Oryctolagus cuniculus: one gene and its partner. The protein of the gene in region 1 purifies or fractionates together with the protein of each later gene. This does not show direct contact. Links are inferred from orthologs where the notes say so. Each region holds a gene or a part of one and is shown in the gene's direction. Other genes may lie near its edges.

What was found.
Region 2: the proteins of USP18 (region 1) and STAT2 purify together in Homo sapiens (affinity purification with western blotting; 6 studies listed by BioGRID and IntAct, with this or other methods). This does not show direct contact. The link is inferred for Oryctolagus cuniculus from reciprocal best matches to the Homo sapiens genes USP18 and STAT2.

The regions. Positions count from the first base shown.
Region 1 is NC_091440.1:88,893,351-88,900,556, reverse strand, and holds the start of USP18 (ubl carboxyl-terminal hydrolase 18), read left to right. Parts: upstream 1-2,530; 5' UTR 2,531-2,771; intron 2,772-3,682; exon of another isoform or gene 3,683-3,706; intron 3,707-7,206. UniProt on the Homo sapiens protein: Interferon-induced ISG15-specific protease that plays a crucial role for maintaining a proper balance of ISG15-conjugated proteins in cells. Regulates protein ISGylation by efficiently cleaving ISG15 conjugates linked via isopeptide bonds.
Region 2 is NC_091442.1:59,156,086-59,160,816, reverse strand, and holds the end of STAT2 (signal transducer and activator of transcription 2), read left to right. Parts: intron 1-221; coding exon 222-358; intron 359-521; coding exon 522-704; intron 705-1,537; coding exon 1,538-1,595; intron 1,596-2,156; coding exon 2,157-2,461; intron 2,462-2,769; coding exon 2,770-2,912; 3' UTR 2,913-3,915; downstream 3,916-4,731. UniProt on the Homo sapiens protein: Signal transducer and activator of transcription that mediates signaling by type I interferons (IFN-alpha and IFN-beta).

The DNA.
Region 1 (7,206 bases):
CTATTCCCATTCTTATTTTTTATAGAGATCTGTTTGTGGTTAACTTTATACTCATTAAGACTTACCATGCACTAAGTCAAGAGTTCAACAAATAATATGAAGGGGAAAAAATTCTGTTCCTCAACAGTTGAGACAAGGGCTATTTAAAATCATTGCATCTCAAAGTGTCAATTTTAGTTACCACAAATCAGGGAGAACATGGAAACACAAGAGATCCAGAATAACTAAAGAAAACATACAACAAACACAAAGCTGGAGGCATCACAGATTTCAAGACATACTACAGGGCAATTATAATCAAAATAGCCTGGTACTGGCAAAAACGCACATTTAGACCAATGGAACAGAACAGAGACTCCAGAAATCAATCCACGAATCCACAACCAACTTATCTTTGACAAAAGAGCTAAAATCAATCACTGGAGCAAGGACAGACTCTTCAACAAATGGTGCTGGGAAAACTGGATCTGCATGCAGAAGTATGAAGCCAGACCCCTACCTTACACCTTACACAAAAATCCACTCAACACTAATCAAAGACCTAAATCTATAACCTGATGCCATCAAATTATTAGAGAACATTGGGAAAACTCTGAAAGACATAGGCATAGGCAAAGAGTTCTTGGAAAAGACCCCAGAAGCACAGGCCATCAAAGCCAATAGTTTCTAATGTATAGAACCTTCCATGTTTTCTTCTGATAAATAGGAACATAGCTCTACTGCCACCTCCTGGAATATATCTGCTCTTGCTTCGTAGTTGTTCATGACATTAGCCAAAGTTGAGCTTGCAGTTCTTTTGCTACACCTGGTGAGCCTTGCATTCTTCCCTGCTGTCCTCCATATCATTTATGTGTTTGGGAAATAGACCTTACAGCAATTAACATGAAATGTCTTCAAAGGGTGGAGAAAAGATAGGAAACAAAATAAAGAACTTTAAGACTTTTTTCAAACCAAATATTTCATGTAGGATACTATAATGTTGGCTTGTCATTAAAAACATGGATATAAAAAATTTAAAAAAGTATGGATGTGTAAGCAACTATGGTTGTGCTCAGTTTGTAGAGATGGAGAGTATATTTTACTGTGATAAAATAAGCAATACTGGAATATTAAAAAAATATACATGGAACTTCTCATTTTAACTGAAAGAAGCAAAGAAAGGATAAATAAACTGGTTATTATGGGATATATAAGGGAGAGGTGACAGTTCATTGTTCATACATTTTGACTTATGAAAAGATATAAATGTTTTAAAAATAATATGACAAAAAGATATACAAGTGTGGGACCCACATTGTGGCTGGTGTAGCAAGTTAAACCACTTGCGATGCCAGTATCCCAAGTTAGAGTCTTATTTTGAGTCCCAGCTGCTCCTCTTCCTATCCAGCTCCCTGCAATTGTACATGGGAAGGCAATGAAAGACAACCCAAGGACTTGGGCCTGTGTCACCTATGTAGGAGATCTTGATGGAGTTTCAGGCTCCTGGCTGTGGCCTGGCTCAGCTCCAGCTGTTGCAGCCATTTGGGGAGTAAAGCAGAAGTTGGAAGATTTCTTTCTCTCTGTCACTCTGCTTTTCAATTAAATAAATGACTGATGGGTAAGACTGAATATTCTGGGGCTGGCATGGTGGTGCAGAGGGTTAAGCCATATCCATCAGCCCTGGTGCATTAGAATCTGATCCAGCTCCCTGCTAATGTGCCTGGGAAAGCAGTGAAAGATGGTGCAAGTACTTTCATCCCTGAACCCTTATGGGAGACCGGGAAGAAGCTCCTGGCTTCTGCCTGGACCCGTCCTGGCCACTGCAGCCAACTGGGGGGTGAAGCAGGGTATAGAAGATCTCTCTCTCTCTCTCTCTCTCTCCCCCTCTTTCTGTAACTCTGCCTTTCAAATAAATAATTTTTTTTAAGAGATGGAAGGTTCTGGAATCAGGTCCTGTTTAGACCACTTAGAATTTTCTATCCTTTGCATTTTGTTTTAAAAATAGGGCTTGTATCGAGAGGCTGTGGTGTAGATAAAAAACAGGTTTCCAGATTAACGGAGAGCCTGGCACATAGTAGGGACCCGGGAGTGACAGGTCTGTCAGACTGTCCCAGCAGGAACTCTGAGGAGAAACAGCCGATCCATTGCCTTTCCCAGCCCTCCCTTTCCCTGCGGGGAGTCCGCGACGGTAACATGCCCTATTTCATCAAATCTGCAAGCCTGGGATGGATACCCGATTCAAGAGAGTATATCGTAATCTTCCGAAAGAAAAAATACGCTGCCGCACAGGTTAGAAAATGTCAAGTGGTTGTAACACGCATCCTAGCGGCAGAGACCTTAACATGTCAAATAAAAAGAAACGTGTGCTCTTGGAATCGTCAGCAATTGGCATTTGCAAGTACTGAAACCATAGCACAAATCAAACGCAAAGGCACACAGCACCGATGCGTTAGCTCACACGTGGCGAGTTGGGCTGGTCCCCACCGGCTGACCGGTAAGTAGTCGCTGCGAGCGCCCGCCGCGCCCTCCGGCCGCAGTCCAGCCTGCCTTTGAGTTTCACTTTCCATTCCGCGGGAAACGAAAGCCGAGAGGCGGGGGCGAGGCTCGCGCGCGGTCGCCTGGCGCCGCAGCGCAGAACTAACAGCTGAGCCTGGTGCTGCACGGTCGCGCCCGCCCTGTCTCCTGCCTTGGCTGCGGGCGGCTCTGCTTTCCCGGCTGCGTTCTCCGACAGAGCTGTCGCGGGGCAGGCAGCGAAGTAGCATTGGAGGCTTGACGCTTGCGTGGCACTTGAGGCAAGTGTGGGCTAATTTGCGGAGTTTTCTTTAGGAAAGACATCCAGCGGAGCTCCTGGGTAGTTAAGGGATGTATTTGGGCTTCGCGAATTATAAGGATCCGTTATCATTGCACGCATATGTAAAGCCAATGATTTTTTTTCTCAAGCGGCTAGATTTATTTGGGCTTTTATATGCCTTCGTGTTTAAAAAAAGAAGTTAACAAAGGTGTTGTAAGCTTGTAAAAAAATGTAAACATTGCAGACAATGTGTAAAGTAGAAACAGAAGTTTTTCTCAATGCGGTATCATTGTTGTGTATAATTTATCAGGAAGGCTTCTATGTGAAGGTCTTTAAAATTGATTTGTAATTAGCTTTCCCACTTAATAGTACATTATGGACATCTTTTTATGGAAGGACATATGGATGCATCAATGGTATTTTTTTAAACTGATGAACAATATGGAAAGGATGTTATGTATTTAAACAATGCTAGGACATTTCGGTTATTTCAAGTTTCTACTGGTATAGATGATGCAGCAATGATTCTCATTTTATATGTGCATTCTTACAAATGGACGAATATATTTGGAAAATTTCTCGAAGCAGAATTTCTCAGTCCGTGGACATACATGTTGAGAAATTTTAAAGATTTTGTCAAACTGTGCAAACAATGTTTTAGTTTTAATCCCTCTTTTCTCCTCTTTTTTTTCCTAGGAAGAAAGCCAAAAGGATTTTTAAACATAAAATTCCATTCTAAGGCCTGTGAAAATCTGTGTTCAGTGTATCTGAAAATTAACACAGTGGCTTGAATTTTGTACTTAACAGCACTGAGGTGCTATATTTTGAAACTGTTCCAGAAAACAGGGCAAATATTTTAAAACATTTAAAAACATTTCATATAAGGCTTTCTTTTTGGTGTTACATCATGCAGAGTGAGGTGGAGTGTTAAGGAAGGTATGTAGGAGATTTCCTGTGTTTGTAGAGCAAAATGGAAAGGAGAGTAACATAGGTGTCTGATTCCACCTTGAATTTCATTCTGTTAAAGAATGAAAACAAAAAGCTTTCTCTGGCTTCTCTCATTTACAATTGAAAATGTTTTGCGGAGCGGTGCTGTGGTGTAGCAGGTAAAGCTGTCACCTGCCGGTTCGAGTCCTGGCTGCTCCACTTCTGATACAGCTCCTTGCCAATGCAAGAATATGTCCCAAGTGCTTGGGCCCCTGCACCCACCTGGGACATGTTTGGGTTTTCAACCACACCCAAGAACGACAACCAAGACCACGCTCAGCAAAGAAAAGTTTAGTAGGGCAAAGAACTGCCAGGAATGGCCTCAGAGGGAGATGAGCTTGGGGCTCATGTGTAAGGCTGGGGTTTTATAGGGAACTTGTGTCAAGGGAGGAGGGAGAGAGGTGGGAGATGAATTGGAGCAGGCGAACAAAGGGATGTGGGGTGTGGGCTGGAGCAGCTGGAGAGGATACCAGATACCGTGAGACAGGGTGTTTCTGACACAGGGGGTCTCCGGGGCTGCCTGATTTGTAACTGGGCCAGTGATAGGGACTGGGAGGCACAGGATATCTGCATGATTTGTAGTTGGGACAAATTGTGGGAATGGTGAGGCTTTCCAGGAGCACGGTGCCTCTATGTTTTTCTTTTCCTGATGCCAGGAAAGAGTCGGGGAGATGTCTTGGACTCGTGTGGATTCAGGATTCTCATAGGAGACCTGGATGAAGTTCCTGGCTCCTGGCTTCAGATCAGTCCGGCTCTGGCCGTTGTGGCCATTTTGGGAGTGAACCAGTGGATGGAAGATATCTCTCTATCTCTGTCTCTGTCTCTCTCTCTCTCTGTAACTCTGCCTTTCCAAAAAAATAGTTTTGCAGTTTTCTCACTTTTGCACAATGATAGGCTTATGAAGAGGATAATGTTCAATGTAAGCATAGCCTCAAAGGAGATGAGTTCTACTCCTTCCATGGGGCTGTTTTGTTGGGAATGATAGGTGCAAGGTTCCTTATTATTTTGGGTTTAATCTGTGTGTTCAGCATATTACTATTACTCAACGAAGGCGGAAGTGTGAATAAATCATGAAAACTGAGATCTGAATTTGTTACTGCCATGATGAAGTGAGTATGGAAGACTTAAGTTATTAGGATTATTCCCTATGTGTACATTTTGTCCTCTTAAGGCCTTTGAAGTTGGAGTCGGTTTTTCTTCAGTGAGTCTAGTTATGAGTTAAGTAGTCAGAGACCCAGACTACTCCAGGTTTCCTGTGTGACGCCTCTGGCCATTGGCTCTCTCTCTGAAGAAGCTGACTGATTCTGAGGCCTATGCCAGTTATTGCTGTCACACACATCTATCCACATTTTTCTCTCCACATTTTCTTTTTAAAGATTTGCTTAATTATTTGAAAGGCAGAGTGAAAGAGAGAGAGAGAGATATTTTCCACTCCCCAGTGGTGGCTTAACCAGCTGGACCAATTAATTGAAGTATACAATTAATGGATTTCAACAGTAGATAGAGGGGCCAGCACTGTGGTGTAGAGGGTAAAGCCACCGCCTGCAGTGCCAGCATCCCATATGGGCACTGGTTTGAGTCCTGGCTGTTCCTCTTCCTATCCAGCCCTCTGCTATGGCCTGGGAAAGCAGTAGAAGATGGCCCAAGTGCTTCTGCCCCTGCACACACATGGGAGACTGGGAAGAAGCACCTGGCTCCTGGCTTCAGATTGGCGCAGCTCTGGCCATTGTGGCCATTTGGGGAATGAACCAGTGGATGGAAGACCTCTCTCTCTCTCTCTCCCTCTCCCTGCCTCTCTGTGTAACTCTGATTTTCAAATAAATAACTCTTTAAAAAAGAAAAACAAAACAGTGAATAGCCCACTATGCTACGGAGCATTAGAAGCTGTTCTTCCTATTCAACTGTACTCTGTACCTATTAATTCAGTTTTCTTCATCCCTTCCTCTCACACCCTTCTTAGACTCTGGTAAGCCCTTCCTCTGATTTTTTTTTATTTGACAGATAGAGTTAAGACAGTGAGAGAGAGAGAGACAGAGAGAAAGGTCTTCCCTCCATTGATTCACCCCCCAAATGGCTGCTACGGCCAGTGCTCCGCCGATCTGAATCCAGGAGCCAGGTGCTTCCTCCTGGTCTCCCACGTGGGTGCAGGTGCCCAAGCACTTGGGCCATCCTCCACTGCCTTCCTGGGCCACAGCAGAGAGCTGGACTGGAAGAGGAGCAACCAGGACTAGAACCCGGCGCTCATGTGGGATGCTGGTGCCACAGGCGGAGGATTAACCAAGTGAGCCATGGCGCCGGCCCCTGCTTCTTCTGATTTTAAGGATAAAAATTTCAGGAAGGTAGGGAACTAAGTGAATGTAGGACTTCGGGGACAGATTTTTTAGTGTTTTTTTGGCATGGGTTGGGTTTGGACATTCAAACACTCTCCTCCTTTCTCTGGTGGATGCCTTGTTTCATCTGCTTCCTTTTCTTGCATCTTCTCTGCCCACCGGCCTTTCTCCATCTTAGATCTTAAAGTTTCACTTAGATCTTTAAGTTTCTCCAACTTAGATCTTTAAGTTTCACTTTCCTTCCCCTTTGTTGCCCCACCTACTTACCTCCCTCTGTGATCAGCCCTACAAGTTTGCTGCATTTTTTCCCATTGTCTCTGGGACCAGGCCTGCCAGCCTGTTTAAAGGATATACTCCATTGGGTTTTAGGCCTCTTTTCTAGGGAAGTATTCACGAGATCTTGGCAGGACAATGTCTGGAAAATGCGGCTGGCTCCTTTCTGTTCTGTTTCATCAGATTTCTCTCAATGATGATCTCCAATACTGAGTTCTAGTTGACATAAATCTGCTGTCATCATTTAAATTCCAGCTTAACTCTTCTGACTTGGCCTCATAAGAGAAATAACTATTTATAACTATCTTTTTAAATAAAAAATTAGTTGATGCATAAACTGTACATTTTTATAGGGTATAATGTGATATTCATTGCATGTATATAACATGTGATATCAGATCAAGGTACTTGGTGTATCCATCACCTGAAACATTTATCATTTCATTGTGTTGGGAACATTCAAAATCTTCTCAACTATTTTGCAGTATACAATTAATTGATTTCAACAGTATAAAGCCCACTATGCTATAGAACATTAGAAGTTATTCTCTCTATTCAACTGTACCCTGTGCCTGTTAATTAGGTTCTCTTATCCCCCTTCTGGTAGACACTATTGTACTATCTACTTCCATGAGAATAATTTTTTTTTTTTAGCTACCACATATAAGTGAGAGCATGCAGTATTTTTCTTTCTGTGCCTGACTTATTTAATTTAAGAAGTTTCCTCTAAGTTCATCCGTGTTGCTACAAATGATATATTTCAGTATTTTATGGCTGAATAAGAAAGATGCTTGTGAATAAATATCACATTTTATCTATCCATTCTTCTGTTGATTCCATATGTTG
Region 2 (4,731 bases), on another chromosome or scaffold:
GACCAAGCTGCCATCCCTCTGTGTAACCTCACTGACCCTACCCCCCTCCCTGGAACCCTGCGAGGGGGGTGTTGTCAGTCCAGTACTGCAGTTTAGGTGAGTTAAGAGGAAAGTGCACAAGGGACCGAGCTAGGGCCCAGACCTGAGGCCTGGCCCCTGTGCTGCGGCCGACAGGGCCCCCTGCTGGCTCCACCTGCCCCACCACTGCCTTCCATGCGCAGGCGCATCATGGGCTTTGTGAATCGCAGCCAAGAGCGCCGGCTGCTGAAGAAGATGGTGTCTGGCACTTTCCTTCTGCGCTTCAGTGAATCGTCAGAAGGGGGCATTACCTGCTCCTGGGTGGAGCACCAGGAGGACGGTCAGCCGCCCTGCCCTGCCCCGACCTCCCCGCAGCCTCACCCTTCTGCCCCCCAGCCTGCCCTTGACTTCTCTGGCTCTGTCCGGGGTTGGGCGGCCCAGGCACGGGAGCTCCCGGGCCAGGCCGGTTCCCTCAGGCCCGCCTGCTCCTGCTCCCCCTCCAGATAAGGTGCTCATCTGCTCAGTGCAGCCCTACACCAAGGAGGTGCTGCAGTCGCTCCCGCTGACTGAAATCATCCGCCACTACCAGCTGCTCACCGACGAGAACATCCCCGAGAACCCACTGCGCTTCCTCTACCCCCGAATCCCCCGCGATGAGGCTTTTGGATGCTACTACCAGGAAAAAGGTGGCAACCGATTTGTTTATTTACATATTTATTTACTCACATGTATTTAGTAAAAAGGCAGAATGATAGAGAGGGATTTCTGTTCACTGCTTCACTCCCCAGATGCCCACTAATAGCCAGGCCTGGGCCTGAGCAAAGCCAGGAGTCAGGAACTCCATCTGGAGTCTCTTATGTAGGTGGTGGGGCCCCAAGCACTTGGGCCATCATCTGCTGCCTTCCCAGGCATATTAACAGGGAGCTGGTTCAGACTGCAACATAGGATGCTGGCATTGCAAGCAGCCGCTTAACTGTGCTACATGGTGGGACTTGTTAACATACTTGATTACTAGATTGCAGGAATTCTCAGACATCATAAATCCAGCTCCATTTCAAACATGGGAAAATGATATCCAGGGGCCAGCATTGTAGCATAGTGGTTTAAGCCACCACCTGCAACACTGGCATCCTATATGAGCACTCGTTCGAATCCCAGCTGTTCCACTTCCAATCCACCTCCCTGCCATTGCACCTAGGAAAGCAGCAGCAGATGACCCAAATGCTTGGGCCCCTGCCATCCACATGGGAGACTCGGGTGGATTTCCATGCTCCTGGCATAGCCCCTGTCATTTGAACCATTTGGGGAGTGAACCACTAGACAGAAGACCAACCTGCTTTTCAAAGAAACCAATAAATCTTTAAGGAAAAAAAAAATGATACCCAGAGAAGTGAAGGGATTTGTTGATGGGACCCTGCTAGCCCACAGGGAGGTGTGACAGCCAGGACCACCTGTACTGGGAGACCTGTGGGCCGTGTGTGCACCCCACTGACCCCAACTCCTTGTATGGCCCTCACAGTTAATCTCCAGGAACGGAGGAAATACCTGAAACATAGGCTCATTGTGGTCTCCAACAGGTGAGGTGTGAACTCTGCCCATCCTCCTTGATCCTTTCAGGCTGTCAGAGCGACTCTAACCTGCCCGATTCCAGCCCTCCCCCTCTCCCCCCAGCAGGCTCCCTGTGCTGACCCACACTCTCCGGCCCTCTGGCTTTCTCTGGTTCTTCTAGTCTTTGTCCTCTGTTGTTTCTTCCCTGCTGCCATCCTCATATCTTCACAGTGGTTCCCCGGGAAGAGAGGCTATGCTTGCTGGTAGCAATGGTCGCCCACCTGATGCCAGGCGTAGTACTAGATGTTTTAAGAACCTTTGATCATTTAATCCTTGTGAGAACCCGTCAGAGCAGGTGGTAATCAGAGCCACGTTTATGGAAAGCTTCCTACACGCCAGCACCGGGCTGAATGCTTTGTGTTCACTTTCCCTTTCTCTTGAATCTTCGCCAGTGGTCCTGTGAGGTAGCCATTGTGATCATCGTTGTCGTCTGAGGAGACGGATGTTCGGAGTGGGGAAAGAGGCATGCCTAGGGCACGTGGCTACAGGTGACCCGGGTTCATCAGATTCTCCTGTCTTGGTGTTTGCAGACAGTTGGATGAGCTGCAGCCACCGCCACTACCACTGCCACTGGAGCTGGAGCCAAAATTGGAGCCGTTAGAGCTGGAGCCGTTAGAGCTGGAGCCGGGGCTAGCACCAGGCCTGGAGCTAGCGTTAAGCCTGGAGTTAGGGACCCTGCTGGAGACAGGGCTGGACCTGGGGCTGGAGCCCACGCTGGGCCTGGTGCCACAGAGCATGCCAGAGCCAGACCTGCTTCCTGACTCCCAGCCAGGGCCGGAGCCAGAAGCAGATCTGCCCGGCGACCTGAGACACTTGAACACTGAGGAAATGGAAAGTAAGTGAGGGGATGTGGCTAGGGCTGAGAGAGTGGCCACTCCGGCCTGCCCAGTGGTAGTCCCTCTGGCCTTCTCTCCCTTTCCCACCTTCCCTCCCTCACCTGTCACCGGTGCTGCAAGCTCCTCATTGGAGAAGGGCTCATTTCCGGGTCATACCTTTCATTAGGAAACACCCACGCCTTCCCATGTCCCCTGTTCCCCTGAGGTCCCGTCCAGGCCTTTTCCCACCATCCTCCCTCACTTTGCCTGCTGGGCTGGGGTCTCCCAGCTGAGATCGGGGCTTGACTTCTCGCTCTGGATCCTCTAGTCTTCAGAAACTCTGTGAAGATTGAAGAGATCATGCCCAATGGAGACCCGCTGTTGGCTGACCAGGACGCCACGGACGATACTTACATCTCCTGCCACAGCCACTTTGACTCCGATGGGCCCTTGGTTCCGTCTGACTACTAGGAACTGCATTTCCTCTGTCCCACATCTCTTGCTGCTCCTCCCCCCTCCCCACATCATGATGCTGCTCTCCAAGAGTGGGAGTGAGAGTGGGAGGTGAGAGCCTCACACGGACATGGAAGGGCACCCCGGGATCAGAGCAGATGCTGGCCGTAGTTCCTAGCAGGATCCCCGGGGCTACCTGCTGGGCCCGAAGCGTGGGCTTCTGGGGGCAGGCCAGGATAGTGGCAGGTGCTGGAAGATGCTCGGGCAGGGCTTCTTGCCAGCTTGGAAGGACTGTCGCATTGAATTCCAGGTAAGGCTGAGCTAGTGTACCCTGGCACCGGCCCTCGGCGGGGAGCACAGAGGCATAGCGGGACTGTTTTTCTGACTCAGCCCACCCAGGGAAGCTATACCCTGAGGACGGCAGTAGGAGGTAGCCCTGCTCTTCTCACTAGGCTCATCCCTTGCTCCGCCCCCTCAGCTGGCCACGTGCATTTCTCCCACAAGATGACTCAGCCAATCCACTGTGGCTGTGAAGCTTTGTACACTCACTCAAGTTGCTTAGTCTCCACTTCCCCAACACTTAGGGGACAGATTGCCACGGGAGGGCAGGGATGCCAGGAATTTAGGCATTGGTTTCAACGGCACTGGGTAGAGTTCAGGGATTTCTGGAAGAAGACAAGGGTTGGGTCTTACCTATTTTTCTACTACACTGTCATCCTCCTCCTTTATACACTGTTTTTACCTGAAGGGAAGGCTTCTCTTTCTTGGGAGTGGAGCTGGGCAAAGACCAAGTCCCTGGAACTTAGTGCCTCGAAGGTTTAACATAGACCCTGGACAACCTCACACCTCCGCCGCCCCCAGGGGTAACTGCCATTGTGCTAGATGTGCTTCTGGTGTAACTCGAGGTGGATGAAGGTGAGGCCCAGGCACGTGGCTGCTTCGTGTCTGCTGTGTCAGCACAACAGCCCCTCGAGGCCCCTCCCAGCAGCAAGAGCTAATAAACGTCATGCTGGCCTGGAAACTTTCATCTCTGCATGTCTTTACTTCTCTGCTCATAAAGGCCAATGTCCTGAGGCACATCAAGATACAGGAACAAGGTGGGCGAGCCGTGGCCTGTCTTCCACAAACCCCAGTATGCCCCACTCCTCACGGTTCTTCCCTCTCAGTTGGGAGCAGCTCCTCCTGTCCCTTAGCCTTGCTGTGGCTGTGACTACGTATGTGTCAGGGAAGAGGAAGAGTGGTTATTTAACTGTCCCACTGTCACTCTGCTGGTTGGTGGCAAAGCCAAGACAGGAACCTGGGGCTGGGCAACTCCAAAGCCTACATTCTCAATGCTGTGACTTTGGGGGAAAGGAAAGGAAATAACCACTAGCCCCTTCTCCTATTTTTTTTTCCAAAAATGTTTTGGCTCCCCTTGGGTAACCAAACTCTTGAAGAGGTCCACGGCTTTCCTTTATGGGAGAATCCTATTGGTTTGGGAGATGGACTTTCATCTTCCAGGAGCACCCTTCCTACTCAAAACTCAGCTCTCGGATCCCACAGTCCTCAGGACTCCTGTCTATGGCCAGATATACTCTTTTTAAAAAGATTTATTTGAAAGAGTTAGAGAGAGAGAGAGGGAGAGACAAACAGATCTTCCATCCACTGATTTACTTTCCAAATTTCTGTAACAGCCAGGGCAGGAGCCAGGAGTTTCATCCGGGTCTCCCACGTGGATGCAGGGGCCCAAGGACTTGGACCATCTTTACTGCTTTCCCAGGAACATTAGCAGGGAGCTGGATTGGAAGTGGAGCAGCCAGGATTCAAACCGGGGCCCATATGGGATGCCAGCATCGCA